Linked DNA regions of Mytilus edulis. The protein of the gene in region 2 interacts with the protein of the main gene of each other region in a biochemical or structural test. Links are inferred from orthologs where the notes say so. Each region holds a gene or a part of one and is shown on either strand. Other genes may lie near its edges.

Region 1 (11,573 bases), on a different chromosome or scaffold from region 2:
TTCTTGAGATAAGCTACAACTGTTGTGTTGTCCGTGGCCAGAATGACAGACTGATTCTTTAGAGACATTTGGAAATGATTCAGTGCAAACAGAACTGCTTTCATTTCCAATACATTGATATGCTCTTCCAAAAGATCTGGACTCCAGACTCCCGAGATTGTAAGCCCCTCCAGATATGCTCCCCAACCGAGGGTGGAGGCATCTGTGAATAATGTTAGACTGGGAACTTGAGGGAACAGACATAGGCCCCTCATTACATTTTCCCGTACTAACCACCATTGAAGGTGTGGAAATAAAGGCTGAGTGATTGGAATCAATGCTTCCCATTCTTGTGAAGCTGCAATCCATAACTTGTGCAGATAAAACTGAAGCGGACGAATGTGAAGTCGTCCCAATGGAATTACATCTGCCAGAGAGTTCAATAGACCCAGAAGTTGCAAGAATTGACGTGCTGTGACTGATTGAACCGTCAGGAATAAATGTATTTTCTGACATAGTTTTGTAAATTTCTCCTCTGGTGGGAGGACTAGGCCTACACTGGTTAGGAAATGTTCTCCCAGGAAAACAAAGTCTTGAGACGGAATTATCTCTGACTTTTTCCAAGAGATAAGGAAACCTAGGGACAGAAAACAATTGATGACCAAATCTGTCTGAACCCTCAAGTTGATTGGGCAAAATTCCTTGAGAAGGGAATCGTCCAGGTAGGAATGAATCTGAATAGACAGGGAATGTAGGTGAGCTATAGCTGCCTGCATGATTTTGGTAAAAGCCAAAGGGGCTGTAGACAGGCCAAAAGGGAGAGCCTTGAACTGGAAAACTTTGTTGTTCCAAACGAAGCGAAGGTATTTCCTGTAAGTTTGGGAAATGGGAATGTGGAAATACGCGTCTGAAAGATCCAGAGAAGTAGTCCACATTCCTGGAAGGATTGAAGCCCTGATGGATCTGTTTGTTTCTATTTTGAAGTGGGGAACAATAAGAAATTTGTTCAGAATAGATAGGTCTATGACCGGCCTCATTCCTCCAGTCTTCTTTGGAACCAGAAAAAGACGGGAATAAAATCCTGGAGACAGAGTTAAGATCGACACCTCCTCTATTGCAGCTTTTTGTAACATTGTGTCCACTTCTACTGATAGAAGTTGACACTTTACTGGGTCTTGAGTATGAGACAAACTTATTGGAACTGCAGACAGAGGAGGTGGGTTCTTGAACTGAAGTGTTAATCCCCCTCGAATTATTGACAGCACATAACAGTCTGAGGTAATTTTCTTCCACTGATTTAGGAAAAAACTTAACCTCCCCCCTACTGGTATTGATTTTTGAGGAACTTGTTGTAAATTTTCCCCTGGGGAAGCTGTCAATAACGTACGAGGGGGCAAGAACCTAGGTACTAGATCCAGGTTTCTTGGAACCCTTAAAACCACCAGAAGGCTTACCTGAGCTTTTTCCTGAGTTATTGGGTTTGTTCTGCGGTTTGCCGTAGTTATTCTTCCTTTTCTTAGCAGAAGAAGGAGGATAACCTGAAGCAGAAGTACTAGTAGAACTAGATGTAGCATTAACCGACCTTTTGCCATTAGTAACTTGTACACTAACTTTGACTGGAGGAGGGTTTTTGCTGAGTTCCTCTTGAACCCGCTGTAAGGGTAAACCAAACATCTTGTCAGAGAGTGGAGATTTCAGTAAAGAATCTTTCAAAGGCTCAGCGATAGAAATGTTTTCAAGAAACTCTGCTCTTTTAGATAGGGTGCAATTAGCAATAGAACCCATTAAAAGCAACTGAGATGAACCTAAAGCTTTATCCAGTTGAAGTAAGAAGGATCGTACTTCTGCTGGAACAACCGAATCTTCGCTGTTAAGCAAATGTCCGGTTGCAGCTAGAAAATGTTCGGCTGTACCAAGAACTTGAGAAGCACTACGAAGGAAATTCTCAGTCTTTGACCAAACAGGTTGAGTGAGACGAAGACCATCTACTGGCTTTTTTCCCAATAAAGATGACATAGATTTGTCACAACTGGGAACAAGTCTACCCAGTGAAGAATCAAAGATATCAAAATCCTTGTACTTAACCATATCAGAAAAGGATGACATTCCAAATCCTGAGATATTGTTATTAGCAACCTTTTCACTAGCAAAATTAGCGATACCTTCATTAATAAATTGTAAAGCAAAAGCCATATGGCCAGATTCAGGAAAAGAATTGTGAGAAGTCACAGTATCCTGAGAAATACCACAGGAAGCTTCAAAAGTTGAAGAAGGTTTCTTCGGCTTGGAAGGAGAGGCAAAAGGGATATGTGCTTCATCCCTCATCAAGGTATACACCTTATCCCTAAGATCCTTCAAGGAAGGAGGATCCTCGGTCTCCTTGGTGGGAGGTTGTTGAGCTGACTTAGAAGAAGGCTCAGGGGCCGTCTTCGATACCTTGGGAGAAGAAGAACTTTCAACATCCTCATCAGTGAGGAAAGCCCTTTCATGACTCCCAGGGGAAACAGAAAGCTCGTCATCCTCCCTCTCATCACATTCTACAGACTTAGCTGGAGAAGGTTGATGAGAAGAAACTCTATTCTCCAGTAGAGTCATACGACTGGATAGAGTACTAAATTCAGCCTTGAAAGACTCACCAAAGTCCAAAAGTAACTTCTGTAAACCATCCAAAGGTGATGCATGATCAGAAACCTGAGTACCATGAGAAGAACTAGAAGCTTGAGAGTCAGGTACGGTGGTAGAAGGAGCTACTGCAGAAGTCAAAGATACTGCTACGGGTAGAGCAGGAGCTAAAGGTGGTGCAGTAGCTACCCCAGAAGGGGGACCATAGAAATTGTCCCTATAAGGCCAAAAACCAGGTTGGTTTGGCATAAACCCACCATAAGGGTAAGACTGTGGCCAAGGTGGCTGAGACCATGAGGGTAAAGGTTGTGTGCCCGTGTTGGGAAGCATATACCCACAATAGGATAATGGGGGTCTAGAACCTGGCAAGTTCAAGCCCATAGCTGTACCTGGGACAGAACTAATAGTACCCGCTGAATTAACAGGCCTAGATAAAGTATGAGTCACCGAAGTTGACGTAGGTACCCCCCCAAAATGCATGGCCGAACCTTGTGAAAGGGTCGGATAGGTAGCATTACCAGACACCGTTGTCGAAACTCCGGTCAATGTACTGGTAGTTTGGGGGGGACTTAAAGGTAGTGACCCATCTAAGAGATAGTCCGAACCAGGAATACTTACATACGGACTATTCAAATTAAAGTCCATAATAAATTTTACTTTAGTAAAAAAAACACAAATAATTTGTTTAGAAATTTAAACAAAACAAGGGAATATATTTCCAATAAAATACACAATATATATGAAAAGCAATTAAGCTATTCAAAAAACTAAACACTTCTCTGTTGAATCTGTAAAACTTGATGTGCACGTGTGACCGATGTCGCAGATGGAAATTGAATGGAAGAATATGGGCAAACAGGGGTATATGTCCGGACCAGTGAGAGTAAGTTTATTTTTAGTCGGGATTTTCCATCTGACCTATGACGCAATTGGGGTTATACTCAGAATTTATGATGGTAACGGATTTATAGCTATAAAAACATTGAAGATTTTAAATGAAAAACACAAAAGACAATTGTTTTTTTTTAAAACAGCTTGATCCCTTTGATCTGAATAAATGAAACAATAAAATATAGCAATACACTATTATAACCAAAACATGATGAAATTTATTCAACACACAAAAAAAAACGTAGTCAGAAACTCACTTCATTTTGAAACAAGTCAATGAAACAAAGTTATAGCAATACACTAACCAAAACATGATTAAGAGTTATTCAACACAAAATATAAAGTTGACAGAATCCCACTTTATTTAGAAAGGATTTTTTTTTTTTAACAATTCACTTGGATTTGTATCAAAAGTAGTAAAAAAGAGTACAAATCTATTTCAGTTTTTTTTTAATGAGGTACAAATCATCATCAGTTATTACAGCTTTTACATTAATGCTAGCAAGACAAATCTTTGTTTGGCTTGCTTGCTTTGTTTGTATCAGTGTTTGCTCAAGCATGGTAATTAAGATAGGCGGGGCTTCAGCTTGTGTACATCATACTTAGATTTTATTGGACGTTATGTCTGAGGTTAAGGACACTTAATTTTAAAACATCACATGACAAATATTCTCACATGTTTTCTCACCTGTAAAAATACAATAATTTGTCAATGAAAGAAAAATATAAACTTTTTTCTTGTATGAGCTGAGAAACTGGCCTTTTCAACATTAATTGACCTAACATTGTTTTTATAACATATCAATCTATTAGTTCAGTCAGTTATTTCCATGTCTGTCCTTATGCAACTCGAAAAAATATTCCAAAAAATGGGAAACAATTGTATCGAAAAGAAAATCGAGTGCACCTTTTTTTTTATGTTAGGGTGTGTTTGAGATGAATATTTTGTCTTGAAAATGTACAAAACAAGAGTATTTGATACATCATCTCGCTTCAGACTCTATCTATCATTTTATATAGCAAAGCTACTACTAAAAGATGAAATATAGGGGTCAAGTGAAATACCTATCCAATGGATCACAAAATCAGAGTAGGTGTGTTCGAATAGCTATTTTACTAAAAGTGTTGACGACAGTCTTTAAGTTGGATCTCTGAAAAAAAATTGTCTTCCGTTTCTACGATTTTGAAAATGAACTGGCGAAGTAGGAAGATAATTTCGACGAAGTAGAATCCTGTCTGTATTGTATATTAACAGGTAAGGAAACATATGAGAATACGTGTCATGTGATGTTTTAAAATTTAGTGTCCTTAACCTCCAACATAACGTCCAATAAAATTTAAGAATGATGTATACAAGCTGAAGCCCCGCCTATCTTAATTACCATGCTTGAGCAAACATTGATACAAACAAAGCAAGCAAGCCAAACAAAGATTTGTCTTGCTAGCATTAATGTAAAAGCTGTAATTAAATATATAAGTTTGTTTTGATTGATATTTTTGTAACCTGGAGGACAAAGTTTAGACTGTCATGCTTGTCATAATATTGCACCATAGCTGATGCATTCTGCTTCTGCATTCAGAAAACATTTTATGGCCCTCTCCAAATAGCTCTTTAATGTGAAGGGATATTTCTCCGTAAACTGGTATCGTCACATCTTTTCCCCATTCGATGACTCCACACATGTTTCCCAAATTAGGAACCTTCTTCTTCTTCTTCTTTAGGTTTTCAGTCTTCAATGATCTGAAGATTATTTACTGTTTGCGCGCGCAGCGTGGCCTATATATATATTTACAAAAACAAAAGGGCCAAAACAAAAACAAAAATATTTGGAAATAAATTTGAGGTGCATAATTTATTAAAATTGTGATTAAAACTATGTACATAGGCTAATAATGAGTTAGATGAATTTGTGGAGAACAGCTGGTGTGAGCTGTTCTCTGAAAGTGTCGACTGTGGCGACAGCGACTGTTTGCATTGGCAATAAGTTCCACTGAGTTATGGTATATGGAAAAAATGAGTATTTATATGTATCTTTTTTGGTTGAAATGTGTCTAAAAGTATAATTATGGTTTTTGCGTGTTCTACTGTCTGATGGTATGAGAATAGCCGATGGTATAGCTACGATTTGATGTACTATTTTATAGAACATTATTAATCTTGTGCGAGTTCTTCTTTCCTGTAGAGTTGGCCAGTTTAGGGTGTTTATCATATCTGTCGGGCTACTGATGTTATGGTATCTGTTACAGACATATCTGGCAGCTCGCCTTTGGACCATCTCGATTTTTGAGGTTTGTTCAACTGTGTGAGGGTCCCATACTGAACATGAATATTCCAGTTTAGGACGGACTAGTGCCAGATATGCCTGAGTTTTGATGTTCTGACATGATGTTTTTAAGTTTCTTTTTAAGAAGCCCAGAGATTTGTTGCCATTAGCTATGATGTTGTCTGTATGTTTAGACCATTTTAGGTTTGCTTGAAGTGTAATGCCCAGATATTTAGCCGAAGAGACAAGTTCCAGTTTGTGATTGTGAAGGATATAGTCATGTTTAAATGGGTTTTTCTTCTGTGAGACTGTAAGGACTGTGCATTTGTCTGGATGGAAAGCCATCAACCAGTCTTGCTCCCACCTAGCAGCTGCATCTAAATCTAACTGTAGTGCATCACAGTCGCTTTGAGATTTGATGGTTTTGTAGATGATACTGTCATCGGCAAACAGTCTGAGCTTACTGGATGATAGGTATTCTGGTAGGTCGTTAATGTATACCAAGAATAATACTGGGCCCAGAACTGTGCCTTGAGGGACACCTGAGGTGACTGGGGCTAGGTCAGATGACTCTCCATCCAGGACAACTGTTTGTGTTCTGTCATTTAAGAATGCAGAGACCCAGTTTAAAGTTTCATTTTGGATACCGTAATAGTGTAATTTATAGAGTAATCTTTTATGAGGGACTTTGTCAAAGGCTTTGGCAAAGTCCATTATAATTAAGTCTATTTGAGTGTTGTTGTTATTATTTGCTGCAAGTTCTTGAATGAATGAAATGAGTTGTGTTTCGCAAGATCTAGACTGACGGAAGCCATGCTGGAGGTCATACAGTATGTTGTTCTTTTCAAGATGGTTGATGATGTGTTTTGTGATGATATGCTCCATAAGTTTACAGGATATACATGTCAATGATATAGGGCGGTAATTTTCTGGTTTATATTTAAAGCAGATGTTTATGTAAGTCCATCACATCGTGACCTCTAGATTTGATGTTGATGTTGTCAGTTTATTTTCGATTGATGAGTGTGAATATCCCTTCGGTATCCAGGTATCTTTCGCCCCTCTTTTCGATCAGTGTCATGAAACGAAAACGAGACGTTTTCATCAGAAAGCAGTGTCAGATTTAGAACTGTTCATCAGGGGGACCACTGACTGACCTGAGAGGGTCCTGGTCTAGTCATGTTTAATCAATCAAATTTTTTCGACGAAAAAAGGGGGGGGGGGTAGCATGCCAGAGGTATCTTCTTTCTTCTTCTTTAGTTACGGAATACCATCAACTTTTTGAGGATTACTTTCCGGCGCATGCCTGTATGAGGTCGCTTTAAGTTAATTTCATTTTTTTTATTACTTTTATTTATTTATGAAATTTACAATTTTTTTAGTTTCAATTTTTACATTTTTTATATATATTTTTTTATAACTATAAGATAAAAACAATAAGCACATTTAGTTCAGATGAGAGTATGTTTTAAGGAGCACCTCATGAGTGAGTTCAGGTATCAGGTTCCTTCGCGCCCAATACACTTTCGCACCCTACAAGTTCACACCTCCCACATTTGCACCTCTCACATTCGCACTTCACACATTCGTACCCAAGGTGACCCGTTCGCACTCTACACGTTCGCACCCAATTTTAATTCAAATTCCAGTTGGATAATTGGAAAATCATGATTGTTGTTATAAATTGCTTTGGTGTAAGTAAAACATTCAAGATTTTAAATGAAAAACACAAAAGATAATTGTTTTTAACAGCTTGGTCCCTTTGATCTGAAACAATAAAATATATTGCAATACACTATTATAACCAAAACATGATGAAATTTATTCAACACACAAAAAAAAACGTAGTCAGAATCTCACTTTATTTTGAAACAAGTCAATGAAACAAAGTTATAGCAATACACTAACCAAAACATGATTAAGAGTTATTCAACACAAAATATAAAGTTGACAGAATCCCACTTTATTTAGAAAGGATTATTTTTTTTTTTTAACAATTCAATATCCAAAACATGATTTAGATTTATTCAACACAATAAAAAATGCTGTCCCACTTTTTTTTGAGACAATGACAACAAATATAAAAATGGCAGTGTCTGCACATTGGATTTTCTATTAAACTGCGATCGGATCGGAATGAAACGTGAAATATATACGATAATCATCGATAATATTGGGATTTCGTGTAGAACGAGTGAAGAGTATGAAAAATGATATTTTCAAATTGTATTTATTAAATAATGATACATAAAAAAACATTGCAAAATTAAATGCACAATGATGGAAAATGAAACTGTACAGTCCCTGTAAAAGAAAAACATGATAGAAATAAATACTATTATAAAATTTAAATGAAAATGTAAAGAATAACATTTTAATAATTTAAAAATATACCCATATGATAATTTGAAATAATCTTTTAGTAAAATGTAAAACAGAAACGAAAATTTTAAAATATATAAAACTACTAAAAGGTTAAAATGAACAAAATTATAAAAAGATAATCAAGTAAACTATAAAAGAACCTTTTTTTTTTCAATCTATTATGTTTTTTCACTTGTTTGTAATGCAAAAGATAAAAATAAATCATTTTTTATTTTTAAAATAAGAATTCCATGACAATGTTTGATGTTTAAAGAAATTATAGTTAATATTCAAAAGAAAAAAGAAAAACTAACCAGGCACGTTTCTCATCTCAGTCAGTAATGTTGCTAATGTGCCTACATTTGATTGATGCGTCATAGGCCTGTGTATATTGTGCAGGTCTTTTAGCGTCACTACTTTCCCAGTTGACGATAGATCATATTGGAGGAGTTTTTTTTTTGCCTTCATTTTAAGCATGTTTTTGACATCTAGTTTCCTTTGTCTAGTCAGATGCTCAAATAGACATTTATTGATCTCATGATTGTGAAAACTGTGTGATTCCCTCACAATCAGGTTTTGTCCATCTTTAGTTACGCCAAGTTTAATGTGGAAAGGACATTAAAAAAACTTAAATAAACGCTGCAAATTCGAAAATACAATTTAAAACAAATACCTTGTATTAGGCCTTTTTCCTGTCGAATTAGTTTGGAATTTTTCCCACCATGAATGCAGGAAAAATTTATACTGTTGTACTTTAAATCTTCTTTAATTTTTGTGCTCCCGGTTCTTCTTTTCTCTGCGGCTGCTATAGATTCCTAATTTCTTGTATACAATTGTATGAAATTTAACGCCTGATAGTTCTGTACAAATTTTTCTAATTCATGATAAGTCTGAAATGTATTCCCCACAGTTATAATATCACTCTCTTTCATTTTAAGAATATTTACTTACTGAGAAAAAACTGTTCACTTACCTATATATAAATGTGTATATTTATAAAAATTCTGAGTAGTTTAATCAGTTTATTCACTAATTGCAAAAAATTCCGTTTATATTTCACGTTTCATTCCCGATCCGACGGCATTTTATTATAAAACCAGACGTGGGTACGCGCAGCCTAGAACGGCAATTTGACTATTCGTACACGCAGACACTGCCTATAAAAATACACTTGCCAAAACTTGATTACAAAGCTATAGTTATTAAACACAAAACCAATTAAAATTGGGCGCGAACATGTAGGGTGGGAAAGTGAAAGGGGCGAACATGAGTTGGTGCGAATGTGAATGGGCGTGAACGGACCCGGAATCCCTGCCAGACCCCTGCCAGTGCTCTTGGTCTTGGATCAGACTATGGAAATTAAATTGCATTTACCATCACACGACAAAACTTAACCCTCTTACTGCCATCAGTTTTTTAAGGTGACGCTACATGACAAACAATGATGTCATTCAATTTATGACGTCACACTCTTATGACCATAACAGTTGGAATCCATTGAAGAAAAGCATTAAACTATTAAATCTTTTGAATTTACGAATGATATGATTACTTAAAATGTTTTCCCTCACAATTAACAAATCGTTATTGTTCTACCAATACACGATTTTTTACTTTCAGTACTTAGTTTTTGATTTATTTTGTTTGTGTGTTTAATTTTGGCACTTTCATTGGAGGCACCAAATAAACCAAAAATAAATCTACAACCAAAATAATCCAATTTACGGTACATACATGTATCATGAAAACTTTGTGTGAACAGACTAACAACAAATACTGACATTTTCTGAAACAAGGTTGAAAATGTGTTGCCAAATTATATATCAGTCAGTTGAATATCAGAACATGCATGAACATGGTGATCACTGTTTCATACAGATTAAAGCATGCATTTGTTTTATGTTGAAAGAAGGGGTTCCTTATTGTATGTCTTGTCCTGTCAATTTATTATGAGTTTTACCAGAAGTTTTATCGTTATTGTTGTGGTGTACATGTGTTTTCAGAAATATCTGTTGATAAATATTTATTTTGACATTATTTTTCTTTCAGGATATATTACAGACCATGGACAGAGTCATAGCCTTAGTAGATATGGATTGTTTCTATGTACAAGTGGAACAAAGATTACAACCAGAATACAAGGGAAACCCATGTGCTGTCGTTCAATACAAAAAATGGAAAGGAGGAGGGTAAGCAAGTTTTCTGCTGTTTATATAGATTTAAGATTATTATAATGTTTCACATGTACCATCTCTTACTGACAATCATGAAAAATTGTACACACATACACAGCTACACAATAAACATTGTATCTTATAATTATACCTGTTAAAATGTTTTGTTCATTGAATCACTCAGCAATATCCATGATAGGTACTTCATGAGCCAAATTGTTTGCCAAACACTTGTTTGTGTCATGAACAAGAAACATGATTAAGTGTAAACCATGATAAATGGTGTCAAATGTAGGCCTGACTTATAAGATGATATCTGAAACTTTTTGATAAGTTTCTTGTAACAGTCTTAAAATAGCTAAGTGTACAGTTAGGTCAGGATAAGATTTATTGTACAAATTTTGTAATTGATGTGAATGCAAACTTCCAGTCAATCATAGAACAAAGGATTGACATGTTGCTGTAAAAAAAAAAAGACAGAAAGGTTTGTGAAATTCATGATTTAACCCGTTGACTGAAACAACTTGGAAGTTTTCTATAGTTTATTTTTGTTATTTGTAGGATAATAGCTGTAGGATATGAAGCAAGAGCTTGTGGTGTAAACAGGAACATGTGGGGTGATGATGCTAAGAAAGTGTGTCCAGACATACACTTCTTTAGAGTACCAGAGTACAGAGGAAAAGCTGATCTTACTAAGTATATTGTTTTTATTTCAATCGTCATGAACTTCAGTTGTTTAATAATGTGTATTTTCAGACTACTTGTCAGACTATAAGTCATCTACCAGTAGGTACATGAGTACTTTGAATTAAATGAATCTTATACGTCTTTTGTAGTAGATACTATCTCTTGTCATTAAAAAAAATATATGAGTTTGATGAATCGTTTTAAAGCAAATTGACTGTGGAATTAAAGGCTGATCAATTATAGTGCTCTTAAAGGGTAAGCAGTTTCTACTTCAAAAAAGTCACCTGGCAATTTTTATGAAAGTAAAAAGTCACATATGGAAGTTTTATTTGAGCCTATTATCTCTGTTTTAGCTAGCCCCCTGTATCATGTTGTTCTTAAAGTCATGAAAAACTGCATTTCAAATATTCATTATATCTTTTTAAGGTTTAGAGATGCAGGTAAAGAAGTGATTAATGTTCTGAGTAAGTTCAGTGACTGTGTAGAGAGAGCCAGTGTTGACGAGGCATACATTGATCTTACAGAAGAAGTTAAAAGAAGGATGGACAAAAGAGCACAGCCAGAACTGCTACAGAATACACACATTGTAGGC
Region 2 (10,945 bases):
ATCTTGTTCATAGAAAGGATTTGTCCATTCGGAATCATCTTCATGTACGTCTATTCCTGCTTCCTCTTCATACATTATGCACTTTATATGTATTGAAGCATTAAAGTTTGGTTACTCTAGTTAATTGTTATAAGGTTGACAAGTATCCTAACTGGCTATCAACTGACCCATCAATATATATATGATTATTGATCAAAATAAGTCTTTTTCTACCTGAAAAAAAAATTATATATATTTTTTAATCAAGATTAACACTGCACTTTAGCTAAATATTTAATTTCCTTTGGGTCAGTGGGCATGACTTCTTTCCGTACACATTTCTCAGTTTAAATTCGATTGTTTTTGTCGAGCCTGCAACTTTTGTTGCAGAAAGCTCGACATAGGGATAGTGATCTGGCGGCGGCTACGGCGGCTACGATGGCGGCGGCGTTAGCTAACTTCTTAAAAGCTTTATATTTTAGAAGGTGAAAGACCTGGTTTCTTCATACTTTGTATATAGATGCCTCATGTTACGAAGTTTCCGTCAGTCACATGTCCAATGTCCTTGACCTCATTTTCATGGTTCATTTTTGTAATGTTGAATTCTCTCTTATTATAAGTAATAGGATAACTATATTTGGTATGTGCGTACCTTGAAGGTCCTCATGCCCGTCAGACAGTTTTCACTTGACCTCGACCTCATTTCATGGATCAGTGAACAAGGTTAAGTTTTGGTGGTCAAGTCCATATCTCAGATACTATAAGTAATAGGGCTAGTATATTTGGTGTATGGAAGGACTGGAAGGTGTACATGTCCAACTGGCAGGTGTCATCTGACCTTGACCTCATTTTCATGGTTCAGTGGTTATAGTTAAGTTTTTGTGTTTTGGTCTGTTTTTCTCATACTTTATGCAATAGGTCTACTATATTTGTTGTATGGAATGGTTGTAAGGTGTACATGTCTAGCGGGCAGATGCCATCTGACCTTGACCTCATTTTCATGGTTCAGTGGTCAAAGTTAAGTTTTTAAGTTTTGGTCTTTTTATCTAATATTATATGCCAAAGGTCAACTATATTTGGTGTATGGAAATATATTATGATCTATATGTCAGTCACGCAGGTTTTAATTGACCATGACCTCAATTACACGGTTCATTGCCCAGTGTTAAGTTTTTGTGTTTTGGTCTATTTTTCTTAAACTATAAGTAATAGGTCAACTATATTTGTTGTATGGAAGCTTTGTTAGCTGTACATGTCTGCCTGGCATGGTTCATCTGACCTTGACCTCATTTTCATGGTTCATTGGTCTTTGTTTAGCTATCATGGTTAATGTTAAGTTTATGTGACAGTTGTAATCAAGCTTTATACTTAGGACTATCAACATAATATCAATGATTAGTAAAGAAGGCGAGACATTTCAGTGTGGGCACTCTTGTTAATAAAATACGACGTTTATCGATGCATTGTTTTTTATTCAGAATTCACGGAGTTTACTTCCGGAAGGGAGACAACTCGAAACGATAATATGGAAGACTCCATTTTGCCTGAAGGGGTGTTCTAGTAACATCTTGACGATGTGGACTACATTCATTTTAATTCAAATGATGCATATGATTTAAAATTATGCAACAACAATAACCCTAAATGGCAGACATACATAGAAAAGATCCAATGAGTTATAAATTAACTAATTGAGTGGGGAATCCAGAGCAACCATTCAATCTAATACCCCTTGAAGTCAACAAAACTATACGCATGCGCATAATTACCAAAAACAAAACCTGGAGCAAGAACGTATATTAAATGTCTATTAAACGACCTAGATGATTCTCTATTTCTGTATGGAAATACAATCTCAAATATCAGTTTCATAACGGCAACATATATAAGAAAAACTCCACTTCAGTTCTTATATGACAGAAATAGATTTATCGGAATTCAGAGAACTCTCGCATTTTTATCAAAACTGGGGAATTCCCTCTGACGTGTTTCTAAATTTCTAAAAACACTAAATATTAATACTGCTTAATTCTGATTTTCCGTGTTGTTAAAAACATGCATATAAGTCAAGTGAATTATCAAACATGCAGATTATGAAAAGAACATTATAGGAAAGTTGTTTAAGTTCAATCCCTTTGTTTGATTTTACCTTTTAAAGAAAGACAATCATAACAATCTGTGATGTTCCTTAATGTTTAGAATGAAAGTTAAAACGGTTGACGTGAGGGCATTGCCCTGAGCCAATGGTAAAAGTCTACAGATTGCTTGAAAGCAATCGTATCCCAAAAAATGATATTTGACTTTACTTTGATATGAATTTGATGTTAGGACATAAACTGTTAAATTGGCAGTGCATCATCCCAAATGGCACATCAGCTTGCTCATATCTGCCCGACTCTTATTAGTGCCAAATTACGTTGACAAAAACTTTACTTTCGTTTTTAAAATCACATTTTCCTAATACGAGATGTTGACTTGACAATGCTAAACATGCTAAAACATGGACCAGAAACGTAAAATCTGTGTATGTTTACAAAGCACGACTGAGTGAAGAAGCTTTTTCCACATTATTTCTTCAAAAAAATACTTAAAATGTATGTAGGAAGCATAATTTACAAATTTCCCACCTGCACACACGAGCACACGTGTCCTAGTTCATACAACGTAGTTCTGACAATTTTTCATTTAATACCTTTTTAATTTTTTTTTATCATGTTTATCAAACCATGTATGTTTATAAACATATTTCTTATAATTTTAATCTGTTGGACTAAATCAGTTTGATAGAAACCGCTGAAATGTAAGAAAATAACTTTAAATTGACCAATCAATTTAAACGATGCCTGTACTGAAAATAGTTTACCTGTCACCTGAACAGGTAGTTTTTCAGTTGTCCAACAACTAATTAGCCTTGATTAAAGTCAGAAAGTATTGAAGTAGGGGTTGTTTTGATACTAATTAATCATCATGTCATTTTATGGCTGGAAACGTGTGGCTGTCAAAGGCCAAAGGTTAGCTAAAAAAGATAGTGAAATACATGTACAATGTATGTCAAATGACTGTCTCTGTAAAAAGCATTGACTACATAAAAGTAGATGACCGTTTCATGTTTTGCCCAGACAGACTTTTACCGGACATTAAACAATTGTCCGGAATATATGACCGTTTTGGAAGCCTTGATTAAGTGTGAACTAATTCCATGAAAATTGGTGATGTTCTCCAATAAATGAATGTAACAAAAGATGTTGCATTAGAATCAATGTTTAATTATCTTACATGTGTTAACAAATATCAATTCAAAGCTTTTTATCCACGGATATAGTCAGCTGGGAATAATAAACTTTGAATTGATAGTAATTAGCAAATTACAAGTTAGTTCTAGTATATTTATGAAATTATGTTCATATTATCACAGGAGTTTGAAATCTTATCAATAAGGGGGTAAAAATATACCAAATACATGAAATACGAGAGAAGCTCTACTGTGATTATGTAAAGCAAAATTATATCCGGGTGAAATTTGATCCGGAGGAAAAAATGTCACAGTAGTTGTTGTTATTGTTTTATCCGGAGGTAAATATTTCCCTGGGATATTTTTTCTTTTACCGTGAAATTCTATCTGGGTAGTTAACTTATTGAATAGTTATAAGAAAAAAAAATCCTTTACAAATACTATGAAATAATAATAGTGTATTTAAATTAAACCTATTTTGTAAAAAAAATAATGTATTATTATGGGAATTATTTCACAAATTATCATTGAAAAAATTTCCTGAAAAAATTCAAGTAAATATCATTCTTTTGAAAAGAAAATTATCAGTTCACAAGAAAGAAAATAGGAAAAAATTTCAAAGATCGTAATTGTGAAATAATATCATGATTAAATAAGGTAAGTGTAATACATGTAAAAGTGAGTTGTTTTCAGATCTCAGTACAAATATAAATTAAAACGTAAAGGTAGAAATATAGTTGCATTACTACTGTTAACAGTAATGGAAGAATTTGATTACGATAATATTTTTAACTATATAAATAGTCTGGGAACAAAGATGTTGTTGTTGATTATATGGAAATCAGATAAATTATAGCATAACAATATATTGGAACAAAAGAAATTTTAACAGCTGGATAGTATTAACCTGTGAAATGTTATCTGTCTTATTAAAAATTCATGTTGTAAGTCATCTTGTTATAAATGAATATATAAAAAATAAGATTCAAGGAAAAATTTCGCTATGAAATAGATTCAGGAATATATTATATTAATATCCTTAAAATATGAATTGCTCATAATTACCTCCCTTTGATAAATTATGCAAATTTGTTCTACCTTTGACTTTGTGAAACATTTTATAATTAAAGTCAGGTATATAATGATTGCGAGTAACTTACTTACTAGTTAATGGGACTATATCTCACAAGGTTCTGTGAAATATGATATATGTCAAATATATACCGGTACATACTATCCGCATAACAGATAGATTTTCACTCCTCTGGAAAAGTTCTACCTGTGAAATACCATGCCTGGAAAAAAATTACCTTGACAAATTATCCTCAGGATAGAATATCACAGAGGAAGAAATATAGATTCTTACACTGCAACAAGTGTATTACGACATTTCTCCACTTGAGACAGTTAAATTTTATTATTTAAAGCGCGAGGCTTGCCGTCACAATAGGAAAATTGAGAAGAAAACAAAACATTTTGACGTCATAATCAAATTTCGACTAATCATTTGCCGAGAACAGATTTTTCACTAGTGAGGAGAAATATTTTTCTCACACTGGTCAGGAAATGTGAAAATAGCACAAAAATTAGAGAAATAAACTGTTACAATAGTCGACTTTGGTATATTTTTACCCCCTTATTGATAGGATTTCAAACTCCTGTGATATTATACACACATAGATGACGATGGACATGATGGACACCAAGTGATGATAAAAGCTCACTTTGGGCCAGGTGAGCTTAAAACAGTCTTGCCCACAAGAACCTATCATATTCATTTGAAATTACACAAAAAACAGCTCTGTTTTGTGATAAACGTCAGTGTAAGGGGTCTCATTGGGGGGTTCTGATCCCGGATCCCGCTTACTGTTTTGTCAGATTCCCGTATGCCGCTTATACTATGTACCTAAGCAATTCTCATTTTTTTTGTAATTTCCCGTGTCCCGCTAGCCCTTAATTCCCGTTTTCACGGCACAATAATTTGACTTTCCCGTATCACGCTTACGAAAAATCGGCAATCCCGCGTCACGCTTAGACCCCAATGAGACCCACAGTGTACGTTGAAAGTGGATCTTCCCATGCCTGTGCTGGATTTTCTATAGAGTAAACGTTATTTAAATTGCATCACCTTCATGTTTTCCCTAATATCTGATAGACATGGGACTAGTATAATAATAGGATAGACTGTTGTAGTGATGAATGTTTTTGCTTCTTTTTTTTCAGCAGGGAATGTATAAGTAAGGGGAAAGAAACCAATTTTTTCCTTTTTTAAACCACAGGAGTTTACCGACGTTGTTTCACTGGATCTTTACTTAAGAAAACCATTTCAGATACACCTAAAATACCAACATTGAACCTAAAAAAAAATCGTCACAATATGAGGGTTTGGATGGGGTTAAATAATTTAAGAATAATGCCCTTAAAAATAAAGATTAGAGAATAACGGGCAAAAAAAATGAAGATTAGAGAAAAAAGGGGTTAATTTTTTGAAGATTAGAGAAAAAAGGGGTTAATTTTTAAAAGATTACGGAGAAAAAAGGGGTTAAAATTAAATGTTTACAGAATAACAGAATCCAGACCATCCAATACACATATTTCACGTTAATCATTTGCTAAACCTCTCTAATAAATGGGTTTTGTGTATTTGTGCAGAAACATGTATACTATACGTCTCTGATTTGTGCTATTTCGTGTGTTTAATGATATAAAGGATATAATCTTAATATTTAGTAGAAACTGTTACACCAGCCTAACTAATTTCACTTGTCGTGATATTTTAAAACTTCCATCTTACTCTGTTCATTTTTGGGATAATATTGACAACAACTAATAATTTCCCCATTCATATAACAAATGTTCAGGTTTCCTGTGTTCGGAGATTTATGTGAAACTATATATCATGTATACTTATGTTTGGTCATTTAATTCTGAAAATTTTCATGGACTGTCATCATTGTTATCTTTAAAATAAAGCTATATTTGACAAATTTTCCAGTTTCCTATAATTTCGGAGAATTTATGATAAAATCTCTGTTTTTGTCTCGAAATATTTATTATATATCTAGAAATTTTGCCAGTTTCCTTATACAATTATGTGTGATGTACAAAATAGATTTATATTTAAGTTAAGGTTGATGCTCAATCAATAACATAAATATTTTATATTTCTCAGTTTTCATTTGATTGTTTTTATTAAAAAACAAGAATGTTTCCTCAGTACACGGATGTCCATCCGCACTATCCTTTTCTATGTTCTATGGACCGTTTGTCATTGAAATCAGAAAGATCATATCATAGGGAACATGTAAACTAAGTTTTTTAAAAGTTGATTTGACTTCAACTTCATCAAAAACTACCTCGACAAAAAACTTTAACCTGGTACTAGGACCCATCCTCTTCCTGTGTCATATAAATGATCTCCCAGATGCAGTAAACTCATCAGTACGACTATTTGCAGACGACTGTTTGCTCTACCGGGAAATCAAAAACCAAAATGACCATAACAAACTACAAGAGGATCTCAAATCACTAGAAAAATGGGCCGACGACTGGGGTATGCGCTTCAACGCCAAAAAATGCTATATGCTTAGCCTGAAAAGTAAAAGTCAGCGTTTTTACAACCTTAACAACCACACGCTTGAACAAGTGTCATCCAACCCATACCTAGGACTCCAAATACAAGAAGATCTTAAATGGAAAGAACAAATAACAAATACGTGTAACAAAGCTAGTTCTACCCTAGGCTTCCTTAGAAGGAACCTACAACACTGTCCTATGGAATGCCGTAAAACAGCATATATAGCTCTCATACGATCAATAATGGAGTATGGATCAATTATTTGGGACCCATATACCCAAAAAGACATTGACAAACTAGAATCCATACAAAAGAGAGGTGCTAGATTCATTACCAAAGACTACAAATCAAGAGAGGAAGGATGTATGACAAAAATGCTAAAAGAACTTCAACTCTTGTCATTACAATCAAGACGCCAACAACAACGACTGATCTTCTTTTTCAAAGTGGTTGAGAGGAAGATACCAGCGCTTCCTCCCGACGATTTAATCCAATTTCATAGACCAAAGAGACAAATCAAAGCAACAACATATAATAACTTTGTAACAAAAAACATTATAGACCACCAAGTCCGTAACAACAAACGTGCGGTCATAGTTCCAACCAGTAAGACAGAACAATACAAGAACTCTATTTTTGTGCGCACTGCAATAAACTGGAACCATCTGGAAGACTCAGTAGTGTGCGCCACTACTACCGAGGAGTTTAAATCAGCACTCCTCAGCAAGCGCGACTAATTGTGCGCAGACCAACCCGTCACATAATAGCCGAAAGGAATCTGTGACGTACCCATCCTAATTACACAAGTGGGAAATACAGACAGAATACAGACAGAATCGCGAGGAACGGACGGACGGACGAACAGACGGACGAACAGACGTACGCACAGACCAGAAAACATAATGCCCATAAATTGGGACATAAAAACTACTTTTTATTTTAGCCTGAACTCATTTTTTCCACAACACTATTAACAACCTAGAGTTTTAGTATCTCAGAACCATATCAGGATCTGCGTGCCCTTCTGGAGTACATGAGATCAGCTTTGTTCTTTCTGGGGTTTGTATTGCTCAGTCTATTCTTCTATGTTGTGTTTTGTGTATGATTGTTTTTTTTCGTCTTTTTATCACATAACGTTGTCATCTATTTTTCGACAATTGTGATCATGAGTTTGAAAAGCCTTTTGATATTTTTGGCCTCTCTTTAATGATACCATGGACACAACACGCCCTCAAGTTTTTATTGATGTTTTAAACCTATTTTCTGGATATATTGGTTAGATAATAAAGCCATCGATTTAAAATAACGATATTTCCAGTTATAACATTAGATATATTGAATGTAGCTGAAGGGGTAGACCCAGAAAATTGTCAAATGAGTGTCATCAAAGCCAACTTTCAAATGAGTGTCACCAAAACTAACTTTCAAATGAGTGTCACCAAAACGAACTTTCAAATGAGTGTCACCAAACCGAACTTTCAAATGAGTGTCACCAAAACGAACTTTCAAATGAGTGTCACTATTATTGAAATCTAGGTCATTAATGTAAGAAAAAAATAAATGTCATAACACATGGTTCAAGTAAGTTGATCCCATTTTCATATTTTACCACCTTGGTGGTTTTCTGGTAGCGACCTCGCCTCTACAGTCAGGATTATACTTCTTCAATATTATCTCCCCATTACGTCTTTTCTCGACTATTGGTACGTTGCACGCAAAACATTTTCAGAAACATGACCACGCCATTTGAACGCTCAACTTCGCAACTGGTCCGAGAACACAATTATTTCGTAGTGCATTTCTTTTAGAACATAAATGAAAATAAAAAAAATCCCACCTGCGCTTTCTCAAAGAAACTTTTACAGTGTGGTTGTACTACTTTTGGAACAAATTATATCAAAATTATAGAAAACTTCATCGTCTCTAACTCAAAATATGGACAATTTTATGTTTAGGGCGTCTTGAAATCTTTTGACAGCTTCCGAAGTGCTAATTTTCAACCTTTTTCAGCTGGACCAAATCACTACTTTCCTTTAAAATTCTGGACCCAAATTTTTTTACAGTGTAATTTCACCCCCATACTTGCAATTTGAGGCAATAAACATGGAGAAATAAATTTGGAAGGAGTATAAAAATTAATGGCAAGTAACCCACTGTCAACACTAGCGACTATATTCGTGAACAACGAAAAACAAGGGACGACAATTGTGGTCTCGGACCAACTGGTTACAATCCTGTCGATTATTCTGAGAATGACAAACATGTTTGGAAGATTAAACTTCTAAAGTTATTGTTTTTCTTAATGCTTGTTGTTGCTGTGTTTAGCATGTTTCCAGAATACAACCACAGTTTGACTTTGGAGTAAAACCCACTTATCCAAATAAGTCGAACCTATAAAAATTACACCGGTTAATAAGTTTCGAGCTATAATATGCTAATAACATTAAAAGTTCGTTGGCACTTTGGCAGAATTGCATGATATACTGAATATATAAAAGGTTGGAAATAGAGAAGTTAGAGTGTGTTGATTATACGAAAAAAATGTATTTTGGTTTTAAATTTTATATGGACCTTTGATCTATAACTTTTAAAATGTGGAGTGAAAGAAATCAAGTATTGGGAACTTGTATGAACACATGAATATTATTAAAACTATAAAATAGATTATATACCGATATATAGTATTTTCTTTGAAATAAATGTTTTTATCAATAGCTTTCTATCTCTCGCAAAAAGGATATCCTGCGTTTGACCCTTTATTGAACAGGAAGATCTGTTCTTACTAACTTTCCTTGAATTACTGGTTTTAAATTAAATTTTATACGCTCAGAAGATATCACAGATGAAACAGGCAGAAGACGAATAAACAAGCGGACGATAAATACGGGTAAGATTCATTGAATTATATCAGATATAACAGATGGAAAAGACAGAAGGAAAATATACAAGGGGTCGATAAATACCGGTAAGATTCATTGAAATATATCAGTTATAACAGATAGAACAAACAGAAGGAGAATATACAAGGGATCGATAAATACCGGTAAGATTTATTGAAATATAACTGATAAAACAGATGGAAAAGACAGAAGGAGAATATACAAGGGGTCGATAAATACCGGTAAGATTCAGAATATACAAGGGATCGATAAATACCGGTAAGATTTATTGAAATATAACTGATAAAACAGATGGAAAAGACAGAAGGAGAACATACAAGGGGTCGATAAATACCGGTAAGATTCATTGAATTATATCAGATATAACAGATGGAACAGACAGAAGGGGAATATACAAGGGGTCGATAAATAACGGTAATGTTCATTGAATTATATCGGACATACCAGATGGAAAAGACAAAAGGGGAATATGCAAGGGTTCGATAAATACCGGTAAGATTCATTGAATTATATCAAACATAACAGATGGAAAAGACAGAAGGACAATATACAAGGGTTCGATAAATACCGGTAAGATTCATTGAATTATATCAGACATAACAGATGGAAAAGACAGAAGGAGAATATACAAGGGTTCGATAAATACCGGTAAGATTCATTGAAATATATCAGACATAACAGATGGAAAAGACAGAAAGAGAATATACAAGGGTTCGATAAAAACCGATAAGATTTATTGAAATATATCAGATATAACAGATGGAAAGACAGAAGGAGAATATACAAGGGGTCGATAAATACCGGTAAGATTAATTGAAATATATCAGATAAAACAAACGGAAAAGACAGAAGGAAAATTTACAAGGCGTCGATAAATACCGGTAAGATTTATTGAATTATATCAGATATAACAGATGGAAAAGACAGAAGGAGAATATACAAGGAGTCAATAAATACCGGTAAGATTTATTGAATTATATCAGATATAACAGATGGAAAAGACAGAAGGAGAATATACAAGGCGTCAATAAATACCGGTAAGATTTATTGAATTATATCAGATATAACAGACGGAAAAGACAGAAGGAGAATATACAAGGCGTCAATAAATACCGGTAAGATTTATTGAATTATATCAGATATAACAGATGGAAAAGACAGAAGGAGAATATACAAGGCGTCAATAAATACCGGTAAGATTTATTGAATTATATCAGATACAACAGATGGAAAAGACAGAAGGAGAATATACAAGGT

The links.
Region 1: the proteins of DNA polymerase iota-like (region 2) and DNA polymerase eta-like interact in far-western blotting, tested with the Homo sapiens proteins (2 studies listed by BioGRID). The link is inferred for Mytilus edulis from reciprocal best matches to the Homo sapiens genes POLI and POLH.

The regions. Positions count from the first base shown.
Region 1 is NC_092346.1:54,549,089-54,560,661, reverse strand, and holds the start of DNA polymerase eta-like, read left to right. Parts: upstream 1-6,694; 5' UTR 6,695-6,713; intron 6,714-10,169; exon of another isoform or gene 10,170-10,181; 5' UTR 10,182-10,184; coding exon 10,185-10,309; intron 10,310-10,855; coding exon 10,856-10,990; intron 10,991-11,407; coding exon 11,408-11,573. Other genes in the region: uncharacterized protein, read right to left, coding at 1-1,112. UniProt on the Homo sapiens protein: DNA polymerase specifically involved in the DNA repair by translesion synthesis (TLS). Due to low processivity on both damaged and normal DNA, cooperates with the heterotetrameric (REV3L, REV7, POLD2 and POLD3) POLZ complex for complete bypass of DNA lesions.
Region 2 is NC_092347.1:11,937,870-11,948,814, reverse strand, and holds the start of DNA polymerase iota-like, read right to left. Parts: upstream 5,472-10,945; 5' UTR 5,340-5,471; intron 2,483-5,339; exon of another isoform or gene 2,286-2,482; intron 214-2,285; 5' UTR 76-213; coding exon 1-75. Other genes in the region: uncharacterized protein, read left to right, coding at 6,794-7,525. UniProt on the Homo sapiens protein: Error-prone DNA polymerase specifically involved in DNA repair. Plays an important role in translesion synthesis, where the normal high-fidelity DNA polymerases cannot proceed and DNA synthesis stalls. Favors Hoogsteen base-pairing in the active site.